Drosophila melanogaster: one gene and its partners. The protein of the gene in region 1 interacts with the protein of each later gene in a pairwise test. Each region holds a gene or a part of one and is shown in the gene's direction. Other genes may lie near its edges.

Region 1 (4,406 bases):
GCTTAGTGGAGCAAGCCGGACCGAATTGGTAGGTCCCGCAAAGAAGAAGAAGTAAAGTGATGTGATGTGAGGTGAAGTGAAGTGAAAACCACTAACTGGGTTGGCGCGGCGCCGTGTTTATTATTGATATTTATTTTGGTTTTTGGCTCGTGCCCGGCCAGCGAGTTACGTAAAAGAAAAGCCAACGTCAAAATGCAGCTCGAAAACTGGTTGCTCCACCGATTTTCGCACACACCAAGAGATACTTATTGCGCATTGCAAAAAGCGGGTAAAAGCGAAAATACCTAATCGAGGAAATACTGCGCTGGGATGCATCAATTGTGTCATGGAGTTAGTCGGGTGCATTGCTCGATTTATCTGCGAAAGTGGGCATGGTGTAGACATGGTAGCTTCATTCGAGCGCATCAAGTTCAAGAGAAATAGGAAGTGGCTTTTCTTTGCGCTATTTCGGTTTGCCATTATCGCATGGGCAATGCTAACTATAACTATTTGATTGATAGATAGTGATGTGAAAGGTACTTTGATTGGTAGCTACATAGTATAGTTCATCAGTATCAGTTGGCAATTATTTAATAATATTGTAATTTAAGACGAAATGGAACTTGATAAAAATGATTATGTATATTTTAAATACAATCGTGACTTTGAAAGAAGTATTTCCTTGGGTCTAATTGAATAGTGATATAGGTAAATAGTAAATAATTATATGAAATGCAATAGAATTTACTATATATTAAAACAAGGACATTTGCAAGGAAGAGTGAATACTTGTACCTAGACTAGATCGCGACACATAGCGTAAATTGTTGTATCTAGACTACCAGCCAGGTACACCCAAATATACACTTCCCATCACTGCCAATAGAAAAAAGTGTTAATTTCACAGAAAACGACAGCCGCAAGTGGCTGAAAATAAACCAAGGCAATTGCAAAATACTCTTGTTGTCCAGCTGATTTCACTTTGTGCACATACAAGTATCCGTTTCGATTCGCGTGTAATGTGATAAAGTTTTCTTGCAAAATGCAGAACTAACTATATCTCTTTGTTTACATCGGCTTTTTGCGGTGTTCTTTGTCTTCTCGCGGTTTTTATCTCGCGAACTCGAATTTCAGATGGCGCCAGTAACGCGGCTCATTCACATCGGTTGACCGATCGCAGCAGCAGTTCAATGGAAACTGAATGGATCGGCGGTTTGAATTGAATTCGATTTCGTTATTTCCCACCGCACGGTCACACTGCGATCGCTGCTCTGCCTATCGATATAAAATAGTAATCGATCATATATTTGAAATGATAACTAGAAAAGAACCGTTACGTAGCAAGTTTATTTGAGTTCAGTATCATAAAAATATTGATAAAATCTAGGTAATTTTTAATAAAAATTTAAAATCTGTTGTAACTTGTTGTATTTTGTTGTTAGCGAGTCAGCTCGGTGGGACAGGTCAGTGGGACACGTCAGCGGAACAGGTCGGTGGGTCAGATCGGCGGGACAGGTCGGTGGGGCAGGTGGGCGGGACAGGTCGACAGGACCAGGTTTTTGAATAACAAAAAATAAATAAAAACGTCCCCTAGTTCCATATTCCACTGTTCCTCCATCGCCGCCAATTTGGCGCACATCTTAAAGATATCCGCGTATTGGTATTTTTTAGTACATTCGTTCATCCATCTGTTTCGGCGGATATTTCACGCATTTTGCCTATAGTTAACTGAGTTTTGTGGTGAGTGCTCGATTTAAATGGATATTTAATGTAAGAGAATGTTGGAGAAGGGCGTGGTTGCACATTTTTCGCCCACTGGCAATTAGCCTATGTCAGCATACACACCCAATTGAAAAGATTTCCGTACCGTATGGTCGAATGCTTCAATTCTACATATGTATGGGGCATACCCGCGATAAGAAAGCGTCGGCTAGATGACACATAACTTCAGGGAATTAAGGCGGTTTCAATTGATTTTTCACAGAAAGGGCACGGAACCAGACTGTCAAAATGGTGGCCATCCAATTGTTCAACGAAATCGGCAGTATTTTCCGAAACGTAAGTTTGCATTCGCCTTTTTCACCACATTTAGCTTACTCCAGTTTCTACTCCTTCCACAGACCCCCACGTTTGCTCTCGTCTTGGAGACCCTACTGCTCATAACCGTGATTTGGTTGCTGCTCCACAGACGAGGAGGAGGTCGTCGCCGACAGCTGACCAAGGAGGAGGAAGACCGAATAATCGCCGACTATGAACCAGAGCCCTTGGTGGCCGACACCGATCCCAATCATCCCCTGCTGCACACCCGCGTTGTGCAGTCCAGGGTGGGCAAGCGCATCCAGGTCGATGGACACGACTGCCTAAATCTTGGCTCTCACAACTATCTTGGCTTCCTCGAGGACCAGGAGATACTGGAGGAGGCCTGCAAGTCGCTGCGCAAGTACGGAGTTGGATCTTGCGGACCTCGGGGCTTCTACGGCACTATGGACGTGCATCTGGACCTGGAGGATCGTATTGCCAAGTTCATGGGCCTGGAGGAGGCCATTGTCTATTCCTACGGCTTCTCGACCGTGGCCAGTGCCATTCCGGCGTATGCCAAACGTGGCGACCTTATCTTTGTGTAGGATTGTCTACTTCACCTACTCAGATTGGCGACTAATTACTTGTTATTTGTAGGGATGAGGCTGTCAACTTTGCCATTCAGAAGGGTCTGGATGCTTCACGAAGCACAATCGTTTTCTTTAAGCACAATGACGTTGAGGATCTAGAACGTCTGCTGATTGAGCAAGAAAAACGAGACCAGAAAAATCCGAAAAAGGCGGCTAAGACACGTCGCTTCCTCGTCGCCGAGGGTATCTATATGAATACGGGCGAGATTTGCCCACTTCCCGACCTGGTGGCCTTGCGTCAGAAGTACAAGCTGCGTTTGTTCATCGACGAAAGCATCTCCTTTGGCACATTGGGCCAGGGTGGTCACGGAGTTACGGAGCACTTTAATGTCGATGTAGGTGGTAAACCGGAAAGAAAAACTAAAATTATAACTGGTATTTTTCTTTTAGCGTGATGAAGTCGATCTGATATCGGCCGGCATGGAGGGTTCGATGGCAACAGTCGGTGGCTTCTGTGTTGGCTCGCACTTCATAGCCGAGCACCAGCGCCTCTCTGGCTTGGGCTACATCTTCTCGGCCTCGCTGCCGCCCATGCTCACCCAGGCGGCTATTTCAGCGTTGGATCGTTTCGAACGAGAACCACAAATCTTCGAGCAGCTGCAGGCAAAGTCTAAGACGTTGCACCAGAAGTTTTTGCGATTCAGCAAGCTAACCCTGCGCGGCGATGAGGTGTCACCAGTGAAGCACTTGTATCTTGCCCAGCCCGCCGAGAACTTTGACAAGGAACTGAAACTTCTAACAGAGCTGGCTGATAAGGTAGGCATTTTATTTCCCCATGCAATTATGAAAACTATACATTTCTACTCACTTTTCCCAGTGCATTGCTCGTGGAGTGGCTGTGGTACAGGCTGCCTACCTGCAGAACAGGGAACGCCAACCAGTCCGTCCCAGCATTCGCATTGCTGTCAACCGTTTGCTGGAGAGTTCGGAAATAGACAATGCGTTTGAGGTCATCGAGAGTGTTTCCAGCTCCGTCCTATAAGCCTTGTTGTTGGAAAGGAATGATCTTCTTTCGACAATGGCCTTGCTGTTAAGTTTTAAGGCCTGCTGGCCCCATCATTTTTTCATCACTTCTTCACGACCAGTCCAGTATGAATTGTTTAAGTTAATAGCTAGCCTTGCACTTGCTCTTTGCACTTTGTTGCATTGCATTTTAATGAAAAATTTTAAGTCTAGGAAAACTTTCAAAGATTACACGTTATAGATAACAGAGCTGGTTAAATAAAACTATTAAGTTTATTTGGTAGTTACGTGCCCTTTTATTGGTGTTTCTTATCGCCTGCGCAATCGCAAACGTTTTTGAATATCCCGATAAAGATAAGGGTAATATTATGTGGCATTTGTTGTAAAATTTACAAGAACAACTTCCACAAAGAAACATTCATTATTTATTTATGTTTTTCTTGCATGACAATTAAGATACACATCACACGCTTAATAATAACTAATATGTGGAATAAGCCAGATGGAATGGAAATGCTTTGAAACGATTTGATTGCCAGTGGAGCAGAGCTGTTTCCGAGTGGCGACCTAATCTGTGAGCAATAATCATAACCCTTCGACTTTCAAACCCATGTTTGTGCATTCGATTCACTGATGAACTTGACAACGACGACCCCAAATCATGATGTTGTGCACATAGCGCTCTGATTTCGATGCCGATATGCCAGCCGGCAATCAGCGCCAATTGAGCGTATACGTACTATGAACTTGGGTGCGGTGCTATCAGTGCGAATACGCAACATTTGGCGACAAAAA
Region 2 (5,019 bases), on another chromosome or scaffold:
GAGTGAAGGTTAAGTCGTTCGATTTGATATTCAATCGGTATAACGAATTCGAAAGCCATGCCAATGCACTCGTCGAAAAGGTCCCACCTGAACCGCATAGATAATGGGTATTTGCCATTCGAATAGATTCCTTCTTCCTGGCTCTCGCTTTTTGGCTTTCGGTTTTATGTACTTTTGTGCATCCGATGTGAAACCTGGCCCCCTTGCGAAACAGAGCATCGTATGGAAGAGTTTTCTTGGGGAAAACTGGCACACAGAATTGCAAAAAGCAAAAGCCGCTGCAAACATCAAATGGCAAATGGCACGCAATGGAATGGGCATAAAAATGCACGCAATTAAGTCGGCCAAATGATTTACAGTGAAAGGCGGTGAAATTTATGGCATGCAAAGCGTGAGAAGACTCTTCAGCCGATCAAAAGATCTCCAGGAACTGTAAGACCAGAACTTTGGAAAAAAAAACCGACTCCAATGTGGGGACTTTCGCTTTCATAGGAACGCAATTTGTCGACGCTGGCTCGTTGATTTGTGGAGGGGGGTGTGGCCAGGTCAGGGATTGGAGTTGAAATTGGACGGGTTCCGCTTATGAAACCCCTTCACAGAAACCCATATGCTAATTAGCCTCCGCTGCCTCCTGCTTTCTATCGTGTGAAACGTCAGCCAAGTGTTATGCGCAGCGTATTTTGTAAATCATATTTCGAATTTACATTTAACGCAGTCGCAGATGGAGATGGAAATGGAGATGGGGATGAGGATCAGGTCGGAGACATTTGGCTGACGGCTCTTGGCCGTTTGTCTTTATGCTAATCAAACATGTTTGTTTACAAAATCCCAATCGGATAACAAATGGTGGCTACCAACCGCCCCCAGTGGGTGGGTGGGGGAGTCAACTAGTTTTACACGGCTTAGTTATCGAACAAACGGTGCTAACCTATATTAATTTGTTTTTAAAGCTTTTGATATTAATTTTTCAAATAAATAACGATTTCTAAGCGCCTTAATCCTCTTTAAATTGGTTTATATTTTAGAGATATTACTCAATGTGTAAGGAAAATAGTAGACAGATTTAAATGCCAGTTTATAGGTCTATGTGAGCAGAACTTGATGGCGTGGTCCTAACAAACTTTATTTTACTTTCTAAATGGCCACAAATTCCAGTAAAGTCTTTATAATACGCAATTTTCTGTAATAAAATGGCACAATAAATGAAGCAGTTTTAAAATAAATTATCAAAGAAACTGAAATTGCCTAAATCTGTGATTATAAGTACCCAAATCAAACCGGTTGAATGTGGTTCGATTGAACGCGAATTGAAAGGCAATCGATGGCCGGCGGATATGGTCTAGTCCACCAAATCCACTGTTAACCCTCTGTTGCCAACTAACAGTGGTGAACGAAAGAGCCGAGCAAAGGCAACGCAGCAAATTTAATTTTCCATGCAGCTCACAGCGCGGGCTGCAAACCGAAAACTGTTTTTATGCTGCCGCTGCTGCTACTGCCCCATTGCTTTGTTGTTGGACTGCGCGTATATGGCGTCGTACGTGGCGGACCTGAAACTGAAGCTCAGCCGTTGTCAAACACAAAACACCAAACACCAAAGCAACAAAAACCGAAAAAAACCCTGCTCAATCCGGGGGCCAAACTAAGCTTAGCTATACTCTCCGCTGCTACAATACATTCAATGCACTGAGGCAAATATTGCAAAATTTTACAAAAATATCGTTCAATGTTTTTGGAAATATTTGTAGATATTAGATAATATTAATTTTTTGGATTATTTGTACTGCTGTTCATCTAAGAAAAAGAATTTAATTTGGCCATTCAGCTGGAAGGTCCTACTGCCTACCACAACCCTATTGATGGCCATTAAAAAGATTTTGTAGACACTAATATTTTCTCCCAGTGTCTACGCCGACGTCGCTGCCGTGGCCGTTGTTGTCGTCGCCTTGTCTTCGCAGCTGGCGGCGGCAGCGCTCGAATCAGTTTCAGTTTTTCAGTCCAACGTGCGAGTTCGAAGCGACAAGCGGTCCACTTCGCCTTTCTGGGGGCCAGGATTTTTGAAAGTGACTAGTGACTAGTGGCAAAATATGTGCGGTTAGCCACGACAGTTTGCAGTGTCTCGAAAGCCACAACACACCTAAAAACGCAATCCAATCGAATCCGAATCGAGTCCAGATCAATCCAATCTAATACCGACTGCCCGCTCAAGGAGAATCGATTTTGTAGTTTGTGGATACGCGGCGCGGAGTCGAGCTTTGAAAATGGTGAGTGCAAATGTGTGTCAGAGGCATGGAGCTATGGAAATTATCATATCCACAACAGACCCCAACACAGCCCCCTTGGGTTGCCAGAACCAAAAGCATGCCAAAGAATATTGAAAGTCCGTTGACGCAACGGAAAAACGAATGTTAAACAGCAGAAACTCCATGGCAGTTGGAGAACGTAAACTAAGAATGCACAGCGAAAAAAACAAGACAATGCTGCATAAACATAACATAAAACAATGATAGGCAGAAAACAATCAAAGAAATATTATAGACAATTCCAAGATATTTTAGAAAACACTTGATTGTTATTCTTGTTATGCTAATTGTTAAGTTTGCTTTAATTAACCAGCTAACACGTTCTCCGCACAGCTAGGAAATCGTTCAAAATTCTTTTCCTGTGTAAGACTTTATCGCTGAATGGCTGAGTGTGAGAAAAAGCAACAGCAACAACGACAACGGGTTCTGTACCGCTACTGACCGACCGAAGTTGAAGGCGAACTTGTCAAAGACAATGAATAAAATGAGCGCTGAGGGGCTAAACAAAAAAAAAAAATAAATAAAAAAAAGAGTGTAAAGTGGGGGGCTAGAAGTTGGTGGGGGGTTTCAGTTTCGCTTTCGTAGCTGAAAGCCCGTCCGAGAAAAGGGGAAAATGTCCGTAGTCGCAGTCTTCAATTGGCCAATTGGCAACGGCTTTTACTTCCTCGGCCGTTTGAGGCGAAAAGCGAAAAACGAAAAGCCAGCTAGCCGAAAGATTTCCATTATGGCCGCAGCAGGCGGCACGCCTCAATTTGCCAGCAAAATCAGCGGTATAGGCAGCAAGTAAAAGTTGCACAGGCGCACAACAATGGCAAAAACAATAACTAGTTTTGTTTTACAACAATTAATATTTGCAAAGGAAAAAATAAAAAGAAAAAATACCTATAACTCGCCGCTGTCGATTGGCAAATAGTTGGCAAAGCAAAGCAACATAAAAAAAAACTGGTCTCAAAAAAGGAAAACTGCAAAAATTTGGTTCGAAACGGAGTCTCGAAAACAGTGGAAAAGCAAAAGGCAATCGGAGAGTCCAAATCAAATGCGAACTCTGCTGGCTTTATAAATTAAACATTTTATTTTATGGTCTTTCGCTAGCCGCACAATGCAACCGATCGGACATACGAGCTCCATTATATTTCTGTGAACGAGCGTATAATGTGGAGCAGGTCGAAATTTAAGCATTTCGAAAATGAAAACGAAAAACGAAAAACAATAAGAAATGCTAATTGCCCAAGTTTTCATTGTCTCCGTGATAGGTTTTCGCATTAGTTATGGCACTGAAAATATACATTTTATGTGCTAAGAAATGTTTCCCAATGGAAAAATATCAAACGGTCTCCAAAAACTAACTAGCTTCTTAAGACAATTTAAACTGCTTAATTCGAGCTTTTTCCTAATTATAATTATCATTTATGGCAATATTCATCAAGTCTTTCGCTTTTTATAATTACCAAAACATTTATGTAATGTGGAGCAGGTCAAAACTAAATCGCTTGAAAGAAAGAAAACTCGAAAATGTTAATTGCCAGCCGGGCCAAAGTTTTCATTGCCTCTGTGCACTTTCGCGGCATTTTGGCGTTAGTTAATAACTCTCTTTCGTGCCGCCCCTTTTCTTGTTGCCACGCCCATCGACTTGACACGCGCTATTGACAGCAGTGACTGACATGTGCAGTAAGTTGGAAATGTATCTGCAAAACTCCCGTCGTATCTGTAGCTGTTCATGTTTCTACGAGTGTATCTGAAACTCTCACTTTCGTTTGAAATGCCACTGCCGGCGCTGACAATTGAATGAAAACACTTGCAGAGAATTTTGTTTGCAAAACAAACCATTGAAATGGCAAGACGGCGAGCTTACCCATGTTTACATTCGAAAAACCCCAAAGAAAAGTAAATACCAAACGAAAAAAAAAATCAGAGCTTAGTGGAAAAGGAGGTTGGGGGCAGACAATATAATTGCACAGCGACAGACTTTCTCCCTTACAGAAAACAGAAAACAAGCAACGCATTTTTCTCTACGCTCTTGTCGTATTATTTTTTTATTATTGTGACGGAAGTTGCTAATGCGGTACGATTGGGCGTATACGTAATGCGAGTGCCAACGATTACGAGGGTCCTGCCTTGCCAGATTTTGTAACCGATCGCGCAATTAGAGTGTAGAAAATAGAAGAAGATGCAAGTAGGCGAATTGGGTAACAGGAATGCTTATCTTTTGATTTGTATTACCAAATTTAGTTTTTTTATTAAAAAAGCAAAGAAAAAACATATTCCCCTTCAAAGTTCTGACATTTTTTTAGCTGTCCCTGAAGCTGTGACTTTTGAAGCGATATAATCATTTTAATAGTATTTTAAGCTTGACTTTACATAAATGAAAGACATTTAAATGTTTTATTGTTAGACTAGACAATGCAACTTTAGTTTCTATGAAATGTGAATATAATGTGCCAGAAAATGCCAGGCACTCAAAACTCAGCCACGACTCATAGCTCAAACAGCGTCAAGTAGCTGGGGCATAATTGCAGGCCAGGCCAAGCATTCCGACTACGGCCAATAATATCTTGGCTCAAAAGCGTGGCCAAAAGTGCCTGGCAACACGACGTTCTCGATTCTTGGCTGTCGGCTTCTTGGCAATCACTTTTTGCCCAGCCCTGACAGCCAGCTGCAACTGGGTTTTGTTTGGCTTTTGCATCGGGGGAGTGTGGGCTGAATAAAAAGCTCTGTTCAC
Region 3 (2,709 bases), on another chromosome or scaffold:
TTGATATACATTACATACCGCCAAAATCAGTCATAACTTCACTTTTGAAAAATGATTTCATATTTTCAATCGCTATGTCAAAGTTGAGGAATTTGTCTATTGCACTTCCTCTTGTCTTCTTTCTGATTTTATTAAAATAAATCATTTTTACTAAGAGAATTGCATTTATGTTATTGTTGTAATGTCGGTGGAAGCTTTGTGATAACATGAAATTCCGCGAAAATGTGTCAATATTTGTTTTGACTTATCAATTCTTATTTAAAGGAATATTATATAATGAGATTTAGCGTTGAATGTATGCGTATCACAAAATACAGATGATGTTCTTATCAGCATTGATAGTTGCCAATTCTGAGAAAGTTGTAAGACTAGATTTTTCATTTAACAACATTTACGTATATGCGGGATTTTGTTAAATGTTGCTGTGTAAGCCGTATTTAATTAATTTGATTTAATTTCTAATCACTGTTGATAATGAAAATTCTCGAGAAATTATGAAAAATGTAAAAGCATTGGGCTCTAATGCAGTGTGCTGGTTATTTGCTGATAAGTTAATTTTTCTAAATGCGCATTCCCTCATCAATTTTACCTTTCGCTGGCCTATATATTCCGCTCGCTGGGCTGCCAAAGTATCAGTTTGTCTTAAACCAGTGCTCTACTAGGGTTATTAACAAAATGAATGCCTCCATTTCTCTACTGTAAGTATTGATTACTTTAAAAAATACTTAAAACTTAATAACATTTCTTGGGCAACTAACTAGATGCCTTGCCCTGCTCCTGATTAGTCCTTTTTGCTTGGGCTATTCTGACGAGGAAAGGGAATCTGACAGCCTTAGGGTTGCAGAAATTATTCGAACCTCCAACGACGCCGAATCGAAGATCAATCGAACCCAAGAGCTGCTCGATATCTTTAGGCGCCTGACTCCCACGTTGTCCCCTGAACAAAGGGAAAAGATTGAAAGATCCATTCAGGAGCATACTGATGAAATTCTAATCGATGGAGTTCCGAGTCAGGGGGGGCGAAAGACCAAGTACGTCGGAAAAATCCTATCTCCAGTGGCACAAGGCCTTGCAGTTGGATTCTTTGAAGAACTCGGTGGCAGCCTTTCCAGGCTCTTTACTGGATAATCACCATTCAGGACTAAGGGATTTTGAGAAACATTAGATAAACATGTTGTAAGCTCAAGTCCAAATAAAATATTCCAGTTTGAGAAGATGATTCTTAAAATTGAGTAGTATTTTTGTTATTTTCTTTTCGCCATTTTGAATTTTACATTCAAAGTTCATAAAATATTGGTGTAAGCGGTCAAGGGATATATTTTCGATAACACATTTCAACTCAACACACAATAAAATTGTTGTTTGCAGTAGATAAACTCTTTTGTAGTATATGCATATGTACAGCTGCGTAATGGTCATGATTACAAGAATACAAGAAAATCCATATAAAACAATTTAAAACAATTTACTAAGAATAAATTTCATTGTTAAAAGTGATTGGATTGTTCAGAAGATGCTTCTATATTCGTTATCAGGGAGCCATCGGTGTCTATAAATTGTGTGTCTTGGCTTCAGGATTGTCAGTTCGGCTTGCACTTGCATTCCATTAAGTCCTTACAAAATGAATTTTAAAACGTCTTTGATGTAAGTGGCGTTTCGTATTTTATTACAATTGAACTTATTATTTCTAACTAAATTTTCAGCTGTTTCGCACTGCTACTGATTGGAACTCTATGCTCGGCCTATTCCAATCAAGAACGTCAACGTGACAGTCGTAGGGTTGCTGAAATTATGCGAACCTCCTGGGACGACAATACCAAAATCAAAAGAATCCAGGAACTACTTACCATATACAATCGCATGGCTCCTAGCTTAAGACCAGATGAAAGGGCGAGAATGGACAGATTCATAAGTGGATATACGGGAGAAATCATGGTCGATGGAGTACCCAGTCAAGGTGGTGCTAGAAGGATCTTTAAGAAGATTCTGTCTCCGGCGGCAAAGAGCGTGGCAACTGGATTCTTTACCGAACTCGGTGCAAGTCTTGCAAGCATATTAACTAGCTGGTTTCCAGCTAACACAGAACGAAACCATTGAAATCGTAGACATCTTTTTTGTAATAAAATCAATTCCCCACTGAAAGTGAAAGTGAAAGCATTGAAAGAGACTATCATAAATGCCGTATTTTATTCCCAGAAGGTGAATTAGTTAATACGCATCCATTGTAATGGAAATTGTGAACATCCACCTGTACATGATTACTTAATCAGATAGAAAATTTCCATAAATTGCATATTCATATCTTCTGCCCAGCATTTTATCCATAACCTTGTAAAAAATATGCACTCATATTAGATTGTAAGAGGTTGATTTAAAAATTCAGACAAAGTGCAGGGCGAACTTTGTTCATTCAATCTGACCAAAGTTTGTTTTGAATTCAATCAACACCCAAACAAAACTGAATTGTGGAAGCATGTTGTTCGAGAAAGCGATTGCAATTATTATTTGTGGGTAAAACACTTTTTGTGTAGAATACCACAAACTCGTTTTCGGCCGACGAAAGTTTTTGATTGTCTAGTCGAAACAGGGCATGTGGAAAGTAATTAACATGCAAGTGTCGAAAGCGTCTGACAGGGACCTTCTGCGTAGTGTGGGCGTCTCCGGCTGCCACAGGACATCCTTGTGGGTGAGGGAGGACTAGTGTGTGCC

What was found. Proteins that work in one complex are often made in the same cells at the same time.
Region 2: the proteins of Spt-I (region 1) and Cht7 interact in a two-hybrid assay, tested with the Drosophila melanogaster proteins (one large-scale study listed by BioGRID).
Region 3: the proteins of Spt-I (region 1) and TotB interact in a two-hybrid assay, tested with the Drosophila melanogaster proteins (one large-scale study listed by BioGRID).

Annotation. Positions count from the first base shown.
Region 1 is NT_033778.4:13,166,852-13,171,257, forward strand, and holds Spt-I (serine palmitoyltransferase subunit I), read left to right. Parts: upstream 1-1,646; 5' UTR 1,647-1,719; exon of another isoform or gene 1,720-1,963; 5' UTR 1,964-1,989; coding exon 1,990-2,037; exon of another isoform or gene 2,038-2,099; coding exon 2,100-2,599; exon of another isoform or gene 2,600-2,655; coding exon 2,656-2,983; exon of another isoform or gene 2,984-3,038; coding exon 3,039-3,404; intron 3,405-3,456; exon of another isoform or gene 3,457-3,465; coding exon 3,466-3,630; 3' UTR 3,631-3,893; downstream 3,894-4,406.
Region 2 is NT_037436.4:3,103,916-3,108,934, reverse strand, and holds the start of Cht7 (chitinase 7), read left to right. Parts: upstream 1-1,976; 5' UTR 1,977-2,258; coding exon 2,259-2,261; intron 2,262-5,019.
Region 3 is NT_033777.3:20,872,357-20,875,065, forward strand, and holds TotB (turandot B), read left to right. Parts: upstream 1-1,581; 5' UTR 1,582-1,621; coding exon 1,622-1,644; intron 1,645-1,703; coding exon 1,704-2,097; 3' UTR 2,098-2,166; downstream 2,167-2,709. Other genes in the region: TotC (turandot C), read left to right, coding at 676-698, 762-1,128. UniProt on the Drosophila melanogaster protein: A humoral factor that may play a role in stress tolerance.